Linked DNA regions of Danio rerio. The protein of the gene in region 1 binds, or shares a complex with, the protein of each later gene. Links are inferred from orthologs where the notes say so. Each region holds a gene or a part of one and is shown in the gene's direction. Other genes may lie near its edges.

Evidence for each region.
Region 2: the proteins of wdr59 (region 1) and sec13 are in contact, whole or in part, in a cryo-EM structure (PDB 7UHY), measured with the Homo sapiens proteins. The link is inferred for Danio rerio from reciprocal best matches to the Homo sapiens genes WDR59 and SEC13. Residues at the interface, in NP_085058.3 of Homo sapiens: Ala525, Tyr526, Gly527, Asp531, Ala532, Asn533, Ile534, Pro535, Phe536, Pro537, Arg538, Thr539, Ser540, Gly541, Ala542, Arg543, Phe544, Cys545, Gly546, Ala547, Tyr549, Val551, Phe553, Thr554, Arg555, Met557, Ala644, Gly645, Lys646, Val647; in NP_899195.1 of Homo sapiens: Val4, Ile5, Asn6, Thr7, Val8, Asp9, Thr10, His12, Asp14, Met15, Ile16, His17, Asp18, Ala19, Gln20, Met21, Asp22, Tyr23, Tyr24, Gly25, Leu28, Val42, Pro59, Trp61, Gln62, His67, Pro68, Tyr79, Ser105, Asn107.

The regions. Positions count from the first base shown.
Region 1 is NC_133193.1:7,030,101-7,037,323, forward strand, and holds the start of wdr59 (GATOR2 complex protein WDR59), read left to right. Parts: upstream 1-3,137; 5' UTR 3,138-3,149; coding exon 3,150-3,203; intron 3,204-5,259; coding exon 5,260-5,309; intron 5,310-5,891; coding exon 5,892-6,027; intron 6,028-7,223. Other genes in the region: RNA-binding protein NOB1, read right to left, coding at 505-576, 655-788, 869-1,001, 2,993-3,061. UniProt on the Homo sapiens protein: As a component of the GATOR2 complex, functions as an activator of the amino acid-sensing branch of the mTORC1 signaling pathway. The GATOR2 complex indirectly activates mTORC1 through the inhibition of the GATOR1 subcomplex.
Region 2 is NC_133197.1:32,944,111-32,951,307, forward strand, and holds the start of sec13 (protein SEC13 homolog), read left to right. Parts: upstream 1-2,557; 5' UTR 2,558-2,661; coding exon 2,662-2,664; intron 2,665-4,553; coding exon 4,554-4,598; intron 4,599-4,684; coding exon 4,685-4,800; intron 4,801-5,940; coding exon 5,941-6,092; intron 6,093-7,197. Other genes in the region: cand2 (cullin-associated NEDD8-dissociated protein 2), read right to left, coding at 2,186-2,253. UniProt on the Homo sapiens protein: Functions as a component of the nuclear pore complex (NPC) and the COPII coat. At the endoplasmic reticulum, SEC13 is involved in the biogenesis of COPII-coated vesicles.

The DNA.
Region 1 (7,223 bases):
TCAAACATGGAGAGTCTCAAAAACCCTTTTGTATAAGGAACTACTTTCTTCCGGATTCAAATCACAAGCTGACAGTTAAACAGCTGAGAGTGCATCTTTTAAACAGTAGATCTGTAGTGTCTGCTTTTTGCTGGCTGTATGTGGGCGGAGTAATACACAAAGGGTAAAGAGGCTGTAGGAGTTCTGATATTGCAGAATATCGCACGGCTATCAGCCAATCAGATTTAAGAACCAGACAGAACTGTTGTATGTATATATATATGTATATATATTATATATATATATATATATATATATATATATATATATATATATATATATAATTATTATAAATTACTACTATAAAAAATAAAGATAGAAAATATAAATGCCCTCTTACTGTGGATGCAAATTATATTATTTATCCCATTTAAAAAACAACTATCAAAACTAAAAAATAATGGGATTTTCCTTTAATTAATATAATTTAAATAAACACCAAACTTTTTTCAAGTTTTGTCTTACTTTTGAAGGAAAATGGAAACCAGCAATGCCAACAGGAGTCTCTGGATGTCTTTGTGTGCTGCATATCTGAACCTGAAATGCAGACAATGTTGAAAACTAAAACAAATATTAACTAAAATCTGAATTAATTACTTAATTCATCTGCAGTACCTGTTTCTCAGGTTCTTTCTTCAAATGCTCAGTCCCCACATTTTCAGACTCCAGTTGATAAGTCAGAGCCAAAACCTTGATGTCCGTTGCTGACAGACTGGGATAATCTCCTGTCTTTTTAGCAAACTCTGTAACTGTTATTCAAAAACAAATATAAATCACTACCAGCACTGAAATAAAGACTTGGAAGTAAGACACAAAGAGCAGTTATTACCAAATTGAATGTACTCTGGAAATGGTTCTTTGAAATCAAGCTTGTATGGTAAAAAGGCCAAGCTCCTTTTAGTTGGTTTATCCCGAATTTCATCAACAACATCCTTCAAGGTATAAATGTTCTTGCCAATTTCCTATTGGAACACACAAACTTGTTATAACAGATAGAAATGGCAAGCATATATTATATTAAATACATATACATCTATTAAATGCAACATATACTAACGTTTCTTTCTTTACATTTCGTTTTCGTCTGGAAATACATATCCTATTAAGTATTCAAGTGTTTGTGTGATAACAACCACTGCAAATACAACAATCTAGGGCTGAACAATATATAGTTTGAGCATTGATATTGCAACGTGTGTGTCAGTCACGTCACAGGATTGCATTATTTATTAAAGATTAAAATATAAACATGTTATTAAATATTATTTAAAAAATATTTACAATGATGACAATGTATCATCTGATTGTTCCACTTTTGTACTCGAATACTGTTTTAGACTCCCCAGAAAATCATAAAGCACTGTTTAGGTATTTATTTTTGCTTGTAATTTAGTATAATTTATGCAGATCCACTGCATAGAAAAACACTTGATCCTCCCAGTTGATCTAAATAAATGAAATACATCCAAATAGAGCTCTTTAAATTGTTAGATTAACATCGCAATATATATCAGCAAAACAAAATATCGCAATGTCAGACTTTCAGTGTTGTGCAGCTCTAAAACGATCTGAATATTATTTAAAGGCAGTTTTTAAATAATACATACACTAGCTAGACACACAACAGACACACTAACAAAAAATACCATAGTAGAATGTGTTTTTTTTTTTGCAGTGCTTGGGAATAGATGTATAGATATTTAGATATATTTTTTATAATGAACATGCATGATATTGTTGTCAAAAGAACTAAAAAAATACACATCTACTTGAACTATTTTTAATTTGTTAGAGCTATTTTTTAATTTGTTTAATGTATTTATTTGAATAAGACCTCAAACTAATTAAAACTAGCTCAAATAAATGTGTATTTTAAGTTCTCATGTCAACAATATCATGCATGTTCATTATCAAAATATGTTGTATTACTAAATATAGACATGTCTATGCCCAAACACTATGCAAATACCTTATACTATGGTATTTTATACTAGTGTGTTGCCTTTGTATGATCTAAATCAGAGATGCCCAAACTAGGGCCTACGGGCCAAAGGTGGCCATGATAACTTTTGATTTGGCCCACCATCCGATAGGGAGAATGATGGGTATGGTTGAGGAATGCCTTTAATAGAGATTGTCATTTCTAATTTAATGTAACCTTTTGTTTGTTTGTGTTATTGTTTTGTTGCTACAAAAAAGCTAACCTAATTTAAATGTTTAAGTTTTTTTAAATGTATATACTATCACTTGATGGATAGAGAACAAGGCACAGGACTTTGGCTAACAAATCAATGCATAAGGATGTGCGGCTTGACTAGTGTGTTCTACATCAAACTCCATTGTGATCCAAATAAAATTGTTTGTTTATATTCTAATATGTTCATTAAAAATGTAAAAAAATGCATTAATTAATGAAATGTTTTTTTTATATCAATATTATTCCATAATTTAGGAACAGAAAAACATGGCGACTTTAATGTAAAACAGTTTATATTACAGCCCTCAATCAGGTTTAATCTTTGGCCTTTCATAAGAAAAAGTTTGGCCATCTCTGATCTAAATAATACACCATAATCATATCTATTTATTCTTTTGGGGGAAAATTGGTTTTATATTCGAGCATTAGGATTTTTCCCTTGATAATATAATTTCAGTAAAGTATTATTGGCTAATTCTAAATATGGAAATCATATTACGACAATGAAAGTAACATTACAGTCATACTTGCATGAGATTTCAGACAGAATGTTTAAAGCCCTATGATAAACAATATAAGTATCGTGTCACTGAGCAAATGTGGCCATATAATAACAGTAAAGTTCGCACTACGCAGTTACAACACGCGTGTCGGTTTCGTCATTTATCCCGCAGCACAGCCATTAAAACGCAAATTTCTGGACGTCGAAATTAAAAGAACCGAACGATAACCCAAATCCCTGAAAAAATAACTCACGTGCAGAGGAGCCCTTTTGATAAAAGCTCCAGCATCCACAACAACATGCTCCACTATGGTCGCCACCATCTTGACTGTGTGGCAGTAGTTCTCGCGAGGAGACGCAGTATCGTCCCGTTAGTATCACGTCATTTGTTGACGTTCAGGTGGGGTGAAGATGGCGGCCCGCTGGAGCAGTGAGAATGTGGTGGTGGAGTTTCGAGATGCACAGGTAAACAGTCGCTACACGCGTGTGCATGCTTTAAATGCGTTAGAAGTGTAGTTTCAAACAACTTTGAAGCAACAAGCATGCACTGCTTAAATGGCAAAGCTAAGCGACGTCTTTTAACTTTGAATTGAATGACATTCTTTTGTTTACTAATATGTTCCCTTTATAAACTTACCATGGTATACACTGTGCTTTATTAGTACCACAATGAACGTCTTGTTAATGAAGACTTTGAAGGCAGTCATGGTAGAATGACCGCTGAGAACTGTGGTTCAATAAGTAGTTGATAGTTCATACATCAAGATTATAGGTTGTTACTTATCCTTAAACTACAATACAAATTGATGAATGTCATTAAATATTGACTATCAAAGCAATGTTTATTTATTTAACTAAAACTCTTATGTTTACAAAACTTGAAGATAACAGAAGATTGTATAGTACATTTCAATTACAAAAAATACATTAAAAATGCACTGAAATTACACTAAAATACAATAAAAATGCACTAAAATTTTCAAAGATCAAACGGTTAAGAACAAGTACAGCAAGTTCTTCCAGTGTACTTAAGTTTTGATTAAAAAATGCCACTTCAAAGGATAGTCCTGATAAAATATATATTTTGATTTCTTTAATGTTGGTTGTTTATAAGTGTAGAATTTGGCACTCAATTATTCTGCAAAAATGTGTTTTTTAGTTGTTTTTAGTTTAGTTAGCTTAAAGCTTTATTAATCCCCATTGGGGCAATACATACTGATATTTATGATGCTTTACATATAACACAAATGACACACGTAACATCAACTAAACAAACAAATAATATATAAAATAATAATAATAAACCATCAATCATCTACATATATTATGTAATCGGATTGCTTCAAGCCCAAAAGTAAATTCATAATGATTTGAGGAACATCTAATTGACCTTAGACGTCGCCATAGGGGCATTCACTCACAAATAGCAATTTAATTTAATGTACTTTTCATTAAAGAAATGCTACTTTAAAAGTTTTTTTCCTGATAAAAATATACTTTAAAATTTCTTTAACGTTGGTTGTTAAAGGGCTTTAAGTCCAAATGTGGAATTTGGCACTCAATTATTCTGTAAAAACTTGGTTTAGTTAGCCTAAAGCTTTATTAATTCTCTTGGGGCTATTCATGCTGATATTTCTGATGCTTCACATTTAACACAAATGACACATGTAACATCAATTACACAAACAAAAAATATATAAAATCATAATTTTAAACCATTGATCATCCACATTTATTATTGCTTTTGGTACAAAAGTAAATTCATAACGATTTGAGGAACATCTAGTTGACTTTAGACGTTGCCCGAGAGGCATCCACTCAAAATAATAATTTATTTTATGTACTTTTCATTAAAAATGCTCCTTTAAAAGTTTTTCCTCTTAAAAATATATATATCAATATATTTTTAAAGTTCTTTAATGTTGGTTGTTTAACTCTTGTGGATTATTTAAAATGACGATCCTTTCGTTATGTTAGTTGCTGTTTTTGTTCCATTGACTTCCATTATAATGCCATTTTTTGATTGCAAAGCCATGGCAAATTTGACCTCTTCCCATCAGGGAAAACCAGCAACAGTCAAGAAGGCATGATTATATGGTGCCATGGCTTTGCAATCATAAATGTCTTTATAATGAAAGTCAATGGGGCAAAAATATCCACTAACATAACAAAGGGTAGTAAATTTACCCAGAGTGTATTGAGTTTTTCAAAGCATTTAATTTCCGAAAATTTGTGTCAAACTAAGATTTGTCACCAAAATCATTCCATTTTCAGAAACACATAGAAAGTTGTGGCCAGATTAAGACTTTAAATCACCCCTGGGTGGATGAAAACATCCCCAACAACACACAAGGGTTAAAGTCTTTATGTTCATCTCTCGCTTATTCATTAAAAATCTGTATGTTCAGTTCTATCAAGGCCACTGTAGTTCAAACAATGCTGTAGTTGAATTTCTGTAACATTTAAAAGAGTAGAAATAAGCCTGAAATGTATGCTATATAATAAACTTTTCTGTTTTCAGGCTAATGCTATGTCAGTGGACTGTCTGGGCCAGCACGCTGTTCTCTCTGGGTGTGTAAAACCTCCACTAATGTCACATCATCATGGGGAATTACCAGCACACCCTCCTGCACCAGCTCTAGCAAAGTTTTATGTGTTGCATATACTGTTTTTATTGTTATAAATTAGGGCTGCACGATATTAGAAAAATCTGACATTGTGCTATTGTATTTTTCTTGGATATATATTGCGATATGAATAGAATTTCAGCGGATGACTTAAATAGCTCTATTTGCTATTAAATCTTTAATTTAGATTGACTGGCATAATCTTATAGTGGAGTGAATCAAACAAATTGCAAGCATAAATAAGCAAAATAAAGCAAAAATAAAAGTGAAATAAGAAGTGTTTTATAAGTCAAACAGTAGATATTCAGGTACAGTAATTGAATACTCAAATGTAATGCAAAATATGAAGTAACACTGTACAGTCTTCATTGCTGACCAACTATAATTCCAACTCTGTACCGCGGATAATCCAATGTGATTATTTCAAATGCACACATTGTGATATAGATGCTAAAACGATATATTGTGCAGCCCTGTTATTAAATCTGTTTCTGTCATAACACAGTCTATTTATTCTTTCACACAGGAGACGATTCTTATACGTTGTAAATTTAGAAACGCCGTCCGAAGCTCCTCGTAAAATCAGCCGCCAGAGCAAATGGGACGTTGGTACAGTCCAGTGGAACCCACACAAATCTGACGCCCATATATTTGCTGCATCTGTAAGTAAACAAATATTAATTATATGTACAGTGTTCAGCATACATGAGTTCACCCCTCACAGATTTCTCTTTTTAATTAATATTTTCTACAGGGTGCATTACAATAATTTACAGTTGAAGTCAGAATTATTATTAATCTTTTTTAAATATTTCCCAAATTATGTTTAAATGAGCAGAGAAATTTTCACAGTATGTCTAATTATATTTTTTCTTCTGGAGAAAGTCTTATTTGTTTGATTTCGGCTAGAATAAAAGCAGTTTTTCATTTTTTAAAACCATTTTAAGGTCAAAATTATTTGGCCCTTTAAGCTATTTATAAGTTATTAGAGATAAGTTATTAAAACTATTATGTTTAGAAATGTGTTGAAAAAAATATTCTCTCCGTTAAACAGAAATCGGGGAAAATAAACACAGAAGGGCTAATAATTCAGGGGGGCTTATAATTTTGACTTCAACTGTATTTGTACATACTGTATGCATTAGATTAGTCATTACCAAAGCCAAAACTAAAACTAATCTAACAAAAAAAATTATGATCACAGTCCAAAAATGTGTACACCCAAATTAAAATGTTGGAAAAAATGTTTTAATAAACAGTTAAAATCAGTAGAAAAGATATAAAAAAAATATTCAATTTAGTTTTTTTGTAATATATCATTTGAATTTAAATGTATTATCTTTATATTCCTAAAGATGTTAGATGACCAAACATATATTTTAATGGATGAAAATGTTTAATAAACTGTTTAATAAATTGTTTAATTGCACCAAAATGTATTGGCTGTATACACTGAGAAATAGATATTATTTTAATTTTAAAAGGGAGTGTACTCATTTATGCTTTATACCCTGGGCTTAATTTGTGCCAGAACACTCCGGATCCGGCACCTCTGAAATCTAATCCAGCACCTTATTTTACCAATCCCCCTCTTCAACCTACCTCCTCCCCATCCACTGTTCAATTTCTTCCACGACAACCCTGACCCTGATCTTCACTTTTGTCTGTGACAATCCCCCCCATCCCCCCTCACGCTGTACATTTTCATCCACGACACCTTTTCATCCTCGGGTAAAATGCCAGTTATGTTACCTCGATCTGTTCCAGGACATCGCAATTTACAAATTAAGCCTTCTCATACCAATAAATAAATGTATATTTCATTTATTTAAATAATTTATTTATTGTGTTTATTAGA
Region 2 (7,197 bases), on another chromosome or scaffold:
ACAGAGAGTGCTGCAAACCGCATCAAATGATCGGTATTTAAAAGGGGAAAAAATAAAAATAGATTAAATATATTATTTTATATTAGACACACATATGGTGCTTGTATTTGCTCCTGCTATACGTCCACAACTTCACACATTGGGTTAAATTAGGCTTTACAGTTTCCATGTTCAGTCCTTTTTCTTCCACTGTAAAAAGGCAGCAGCATTACAACCTGTCATTTAATCAGAAGACAAAGTCAAAGCCGAGCTGACAGCCAATCTTTCCCAGGCTCAGCAAAACTTGCAAAAAATACCTCTGTATTCCTGCAACTGCAATATTTACACAAATATTTCTTATTCAAATCTTCAGCACCACTATTTAACTCGTGAATTTGTTTTACATTTTTTTCACACCTTGATTGAGTTTTGTATGACATGGCCATTAAAAATACAATGCTCCTTAACCAGATGGTTTTTCAAGTTACTTTTAAAGTGAATGTTACTTCAGTCATGTTGTTGAGTCATTTTTTGAGAAAACTAGTAACACAATAAAAAAAATTAAATAAAAAAATCTAAATCGTGAATCGGTCAAACTTTATAAAAAACCTAGATTTTTTTTTTTTTTTTTTTTGGCCAAATCGCCCAGCCCTACCTTTACATAAAAAAAAAAAAAATCTGCCTTTAGGCTTTCAAAGACACCTAAGGAGATCAGGGCAGGTTTCCTTTTTAAATGTTGCAAGCATACAATGGTAATGTTTTATTTATTTATTTATTTATTTGCTACACTTATTATAGTCTAAGTCTTACCATGGTATTTGAGGTATACACAACCAGGGAAAAGTCTTGACAGCTATCCCAGTTGTAAGTGTAAAACATAATAACTTGACTTCTTGTTGATCATTTTGAAAAGTGGCAGAAGGTAGATTTTTTTCGGCTGAATCATCTGTTGAACTGCATCCCAATCATCACAAATACTGCAGAAGACCTATTGGAGCCCACATGGGCCCAAGATTCTCATAGAAAGCAGTCAATTTCGATGAAGGAAAAATCATCGTTTGGGGTTACATTCAGTATGGGGGCATTCGAGAGATCTGCAGAGTGGATGGCAACATTAACAGCCTGAGATATCAAGACATTTGTGTCGCCCATTACATTACAAACCACAGGAGAGGGCAAATTCTTCAGCAGGATAGCGCTGCTTCATGTACTCCACATCAAAGTTCCTGAAAGCTAAGAAGATCAGGGTCCTCCAGGATTGGCCATACCAGTCACTAGACATAAACAATATTGAGCATGTCTGGGGTAAGATGAAGGAGAAGGCATTGAAGATGAATCCAAAGCATCTTGATGAACTCTGGGATTTCTGCAAGAACGCTTTCTTTGCCATTCCAGATGACTTTATTAATAAGTTATTACAGTCATTACAGAGGTGTATGGATGCAGTTTCCGAAGCACATGGGAATCATGCACAATATTAATTCTTTTTTCCACTGCACTACGACTTTATATTCTGTACTTTACATTATTTCTGTTAAGTAAAATACTTTTGGCTTAGAAAAGTCAGACCTTACTGTCCAAATTAAATAAATAAAAAATCAAGGCATGATCATATTTGATTTTGGTAAAATAAGCGTAATCTAGAGGCATTTTCCTTTCATATAAGCCACTTCTGGTACCAAATAGACAACTAGAAGTCAAGTTATTATTTGTTGTTCCTACAAATCGGATAGACAAGACTTTTTTCAGTGTGTAATTGTATGGTGACAGGGTACACACACACACACACAAAACATGATTGCTACACCTTTAATTTCTTATAAAAATTAATCATGGTTTATATTAAATCTTGTTTTGTGTGTGTTTGTACGAAAAAAAAGACAAATTCTTACATTTAAATACTTGAGATTCTGTTTAGTCGTCAACAGTAAAATAAAAAAGTAATATAACAGTGCACACTTCATGCAAGCCAGACCATTTATAGCATGTCAACAATATCTAGTTTTACAGTAACAAAACAAGTAACGTTAGGCTTGTCCCTGTTTATTCCACTTCTCTTTTTTCAAAGAGTTTTAAAGTTTTGTGTAAGTTAAATCTTTAAAAAAATCAAGTTTTACATAAAACTCCCGGTAACAGCTTTGTCATTGGCCTATTTCTGTAAACATTAGTCATGAGTCTGAAACATGCGTCTCTAAAATACTCTTACCTAAAGTCTTTGTCAGTGGATGTCATTTTTTCCAACAGATTGGAAATATAAAAAGTAACGTTCGACATCTTGACGGTTAAAAGTACAGCGCTTAATGGACGATGCAAAATAAATAATGCCGAAAGTTTAGCTGAGTTTAATGAAGACCATTGCGCCTTACTGGACACTGGAGAGACTGGGACATATGACACTTTCGAGCAGTTATAAATAGAGATGAGTGACATTAATTTAACTCACTCTGCCGCCATCTGCTGGAATCAATGTGAACTGCAGAGCGCGGACGGAAAAACTGGGCGGAATCTTTTTTTCGTTCCACACGGAGGGTTTAGCTGCAGGAACACAGTCCGCTCTGAGCGGTCAGGTTTGCCACGTCGGAAATATTATCAGTATATTATTTTCTGAAGCACTGAGGAGTAAAAAGGGTACATTCTTAAAAGTTTATCGTTAAAGGAGGTTGTTGAGGGATATAAGCAAACATGGTGAGTGTTACATTATGGTATGTGGTGTATTTATGGTCAGATATATGTATGAAACCCGGTAGTTCACGAGCTGATAACGTAACGTTAAATAGAATAGAGTAATGATCCTGGTACTGTAAAGTCGTGATAATTTATTCGGTAATCTTGTTTTATTTCTATTTTTTTATTTTCTCTTGAGAATTAAAGCAGAAGTTTTATATATGATTAGATTATCTTCATCAAATTACCCTAATAAAGAATTGAATTAATCTTAATTGAATACGTTCATCTTAAAAACAAAACAACAACTAAAATCTCCTAACTAAACTAACAAGCAAGATCTGTAATAAATATTAACGGAACGTATAATCTATACCTACACTTTTTAATTACCTGTATTGTATAAAATATATTACAAAATGTGAAATACATGATAGTTAAAATGGCAAAACTGTTAAATAACTGCTTAGATATTTATTGAAAGAATAAATTGAAAACATACTGTAATTTGAGAAGACCGTGGATATAAATGTGAAATAAATTATTATTGGCAGTTTAAATAAAGGATTAGTTGTTTTAAAATATTAGGATTTTTATAATCTTATAATCTTTTTTAAATATATATATATATATATATATATATATATATATATATATATATATATATATATATATATATATATATATATATATATTTAATGAAATAATGAATGAAACTACACAGAATTTTAAAAATAGAGAAATAGATAAAATGGTTTATTATATTTAGTGATGTCAATCGATTTAAGTATTTAGTCTAGTGAATTGTGTAACATAATAAACGACATATAAAGATAATTATTATTAATTATTAATTAATTAAGTAATTATTAACTTATTATTAAAGAAATAAATAAACTAGTAATTGCATACATCACTGCTGATGATTAAATAAAAAAATGTAAATGAAACTTCTTTTTTAGTGCTAAAAATGGATTAAAGTATTTCATTTTATTACATGTTAATTACATGTAATGTGAGTATTTATATAGCAGATTTAATGTGTATGGCCATAGACCCAAAGCGCTTCACAATCATGAAGGGGGTCTCATGATAATGATGCGACGGCAGCCTCACGACAACGGCGCCAGTACGCTCACCACACACTAGCCATAGGTGTAGTGGAGAGAGACAGTTATAGAGCCATGATAACGATAATAATAATTATAATAACTAACAATATATTAAAAAAGAAAATGGTAATTGCATTTATTTTTACTTTACTGGTTGAATTTAGGGCTGCCATTAGATTATAATTCCAAATATAATAATATATAATAATGTTTGTATATTTTGTTAAAGTTGTCAAATAAAATAAAATAAAACGATCATTAGTCCAGTTAATTGCAGAACAAATTGTTACTAAATAAAATTAAGTAAAAAATATCTTGTAATTGCATACATGAGTAAGCCTATAAAATAAATAAGAATAACAAAGGCTTGTACTTTTTTGTATTATATTTATATTTAGTGCTGTCAGTTGCTTTGACTAATGTATCTGCTTAATTATTCAATAAACAACTATTCAATTATAAAATGATAAATTACACAAAGCCGTGTTGGGTGAATTAATGAGTAAATAAATCTATTTATTTGTTTAATCACACACTTATATTTAGTGCTGAAACAAATTTATATCTATGCTTGTACAGTATGTATGTAAAAAATAATATCAATCAAAAATAATGCACATTCCTCACTATACACTACATTTTGGTACTTTATAAGTCATTTTTAATACTGGTATTTAAATAAAATGCATGAATATATTAAAAAAACTTCACTTTTACTTTAAGTTCATGCACATTAAAGTTGAAGGTCATTGTTATGTTTTTAAGTCTCTTCAGCATGTGTGTTGTTGTGTGTTTCAGGTTTCGGTCATTAACACAGTGGACACCTCACACGAGGACATGATCGTGAGTATCTGCAGTCATCCTGCCACTGTCTTTACCTGTACTGCAAGTCTTCTGCGTTTATGCTGTTGTTCTTGTTGTGTTTTCAGCATGATGCTCAGATGGATTATTATGGCACCAGACTGGCCACCTGCTCTTCGGATCGCTCTGTCAAGATCTTCGACGTCAAGAACGGAGGACAGATCCTTGTGGCCGATTTAAGAGGGTGAGTGATATCTGAAAATGATTAAGATGCTTTAAATATCATTCAAATAATGCCATATGTTTTGTCTTTGAGATAATGCCATCATCATTTACTAAAACTTGTAAACATTTAAATTTATGTTCTTGTATAACAGAATGGTCAAATCCATGCAATGTTTTCCTAATTATTAATGGTGACTTATGACTAGGGCCAGGCAGAATCTGCTGACATTTTTGCTATTTCTGCGCAGAATTTTGTAAAAAAAAATCTGCAGATTTATGTGAAATGATTTTAGGAATGTCGTAACTGAAAACTTAATACATGACATAAAAAAGACCTTTTAAACTTTTATTTAATGTTTACAATGCAAATTAGATCAATTTATTTGGCAAACAAAGCAAGTATATGGTATATCTACTAAAAGACGGAAAATATTACAAATTGTTTTGTAAATAAATCATATGAACATTCTCGTATCAGTCAATAAAATTACTGAAAGTAATTTAAAAACGGAGACGAGGCAGTGGCGCAGTAGGTAGTGCTGTCGCCTCACAGCAAAAAGGTCGCTGGTTCGAACCTTGGCTCAGTTGGCGTTTCTGTGTGGAGTTTGCATGTTCTCCCTGCCTTTGCGTGGGTTTCCTCCGGGTGCTCCGGTTTCCCCCATAGTCCAAAGACATGCAGTACAGGTGAATTGGGTAGGCTAAATTGTCTGTAGTGACTGAGTGTGTGTGTGAATGTGTGTGTAGATGTTTCCCAGAGATGGGTTGCAGCTGGAAGGGCATCCGCTGCGTAAAAACTTGCTGGATAAGTTGGCGGTTAAAAAAATATTACTTTAAAAATTGTTTTGTAAATAAATCATATGAACATTCTCTTCTATCTGTCAATAAAATTTATTAAATAATTAATTAATTATTATTATTATTAATAATAATAATAATAAATTAATAATTAATAAAAAATTATAAATAATTAATATTTAATAATTAATAAAGGGACTAAGCCGACAAGAAAATGAATGAATTTAAAAACGGAATAAATATACATGTACACACATGAAAACAATTAAATAAATAGTCGCAATTATGGACTAAAAATCCGCGGACTTATGACTGATACAGAATTTCATTATCATACATTATACCTCTGAATGTCTCTGTTCAGTCATGAGGGTCCGGTGTGGCAGGTGGCCTGGGCTCATCCCATGTACGGCAACATCCTGGCGTCCTGCTCCTACGACAGGAAGGTGATCATCTGGAAAGAGGAGAACAGCACCTGGGACAAGATGTATGAATACACAGGCCACGACTCCTCGGGTAACCTCCCTTCCCATTCTCAAATCACACGTTTCCATTTCACATTTTAGCAATATTTTTTAAGGGGTGGGAATCACCAGTTCCACAATATTGTCACGATACAGTTAGGGCTGTGCAATTAATCAAAAATTCGATTTCGATTTTAATTTTGGCTTCTAACGATTATGTAAAAACATTAATCGAGATAAACGATTATTGCATCATTTACTGCCCCCTTTCTAGTTGTACGCGTGTTGAAAATCAAAAGACATGCGAAAGAGAAACCATTTTAAGAGACAGTGCGCGATAATCCTTCTACCGCCTGTTTTTATAATTATTAATCAAACAATAAATGGAGAACATGTCTTTCTGCTCTTGACTCAAGGACTGCTGCAGCTAAAGTGTTTTTCTGACATTGAAGATGCATAAAGCACAGTTTGCTTCATATTTTTATTCTATTGTTTTTATTTCTCTTATGTTTGCAGGTGGGAAAATAACTGTATATGCAGTTGAAGTGAGAAATACTAGCCCTCCTGAATATTAGCAACTCTCTTCTCCCGTTTTCTGTTTAATGGAAAGAAGATTTCTGAACTGATTTATTTTATCTTTGTCATGATGACAGCACATAATATTTGACTAGATATTTTTCAAAATACAAGCATTCAGATTCAAAGTGCGATTTAAAGGCTTAATTAGTGTAATTAGGCAAGTTATTGTATAACAGTAGTTTCTTCTGCAGACAATCAAAAAATATATAGCTTAAGGGGGCTAATATTATAGACTTTAAAATGGGTTTCAAAATATTTAAACCTGCTTTTATTCTAGCCAAAATAAAAAAGCCTTTCACCAGGAGAAAAAAGTATTAGAGGAAATACGGTTAAATTCCAGTTAAACATCATTTGGAAAATATTTATTTAAAAAAAAATTACCAGGAGCGCTAATTATTTTGACTTAAACAGTAATGGTTTTGAATAATCGTGATTACAATTGTGACCAAAATAATCGTGATTATGATTTTTCCCAAAATCGAGCAGCCCTAGATACAGTATTATAGTGCTATTGTGCGATTATATTGCTATTTATTACCTGTTTTCAACTTTAAATTATGTCCTCAAAGGAAAATATC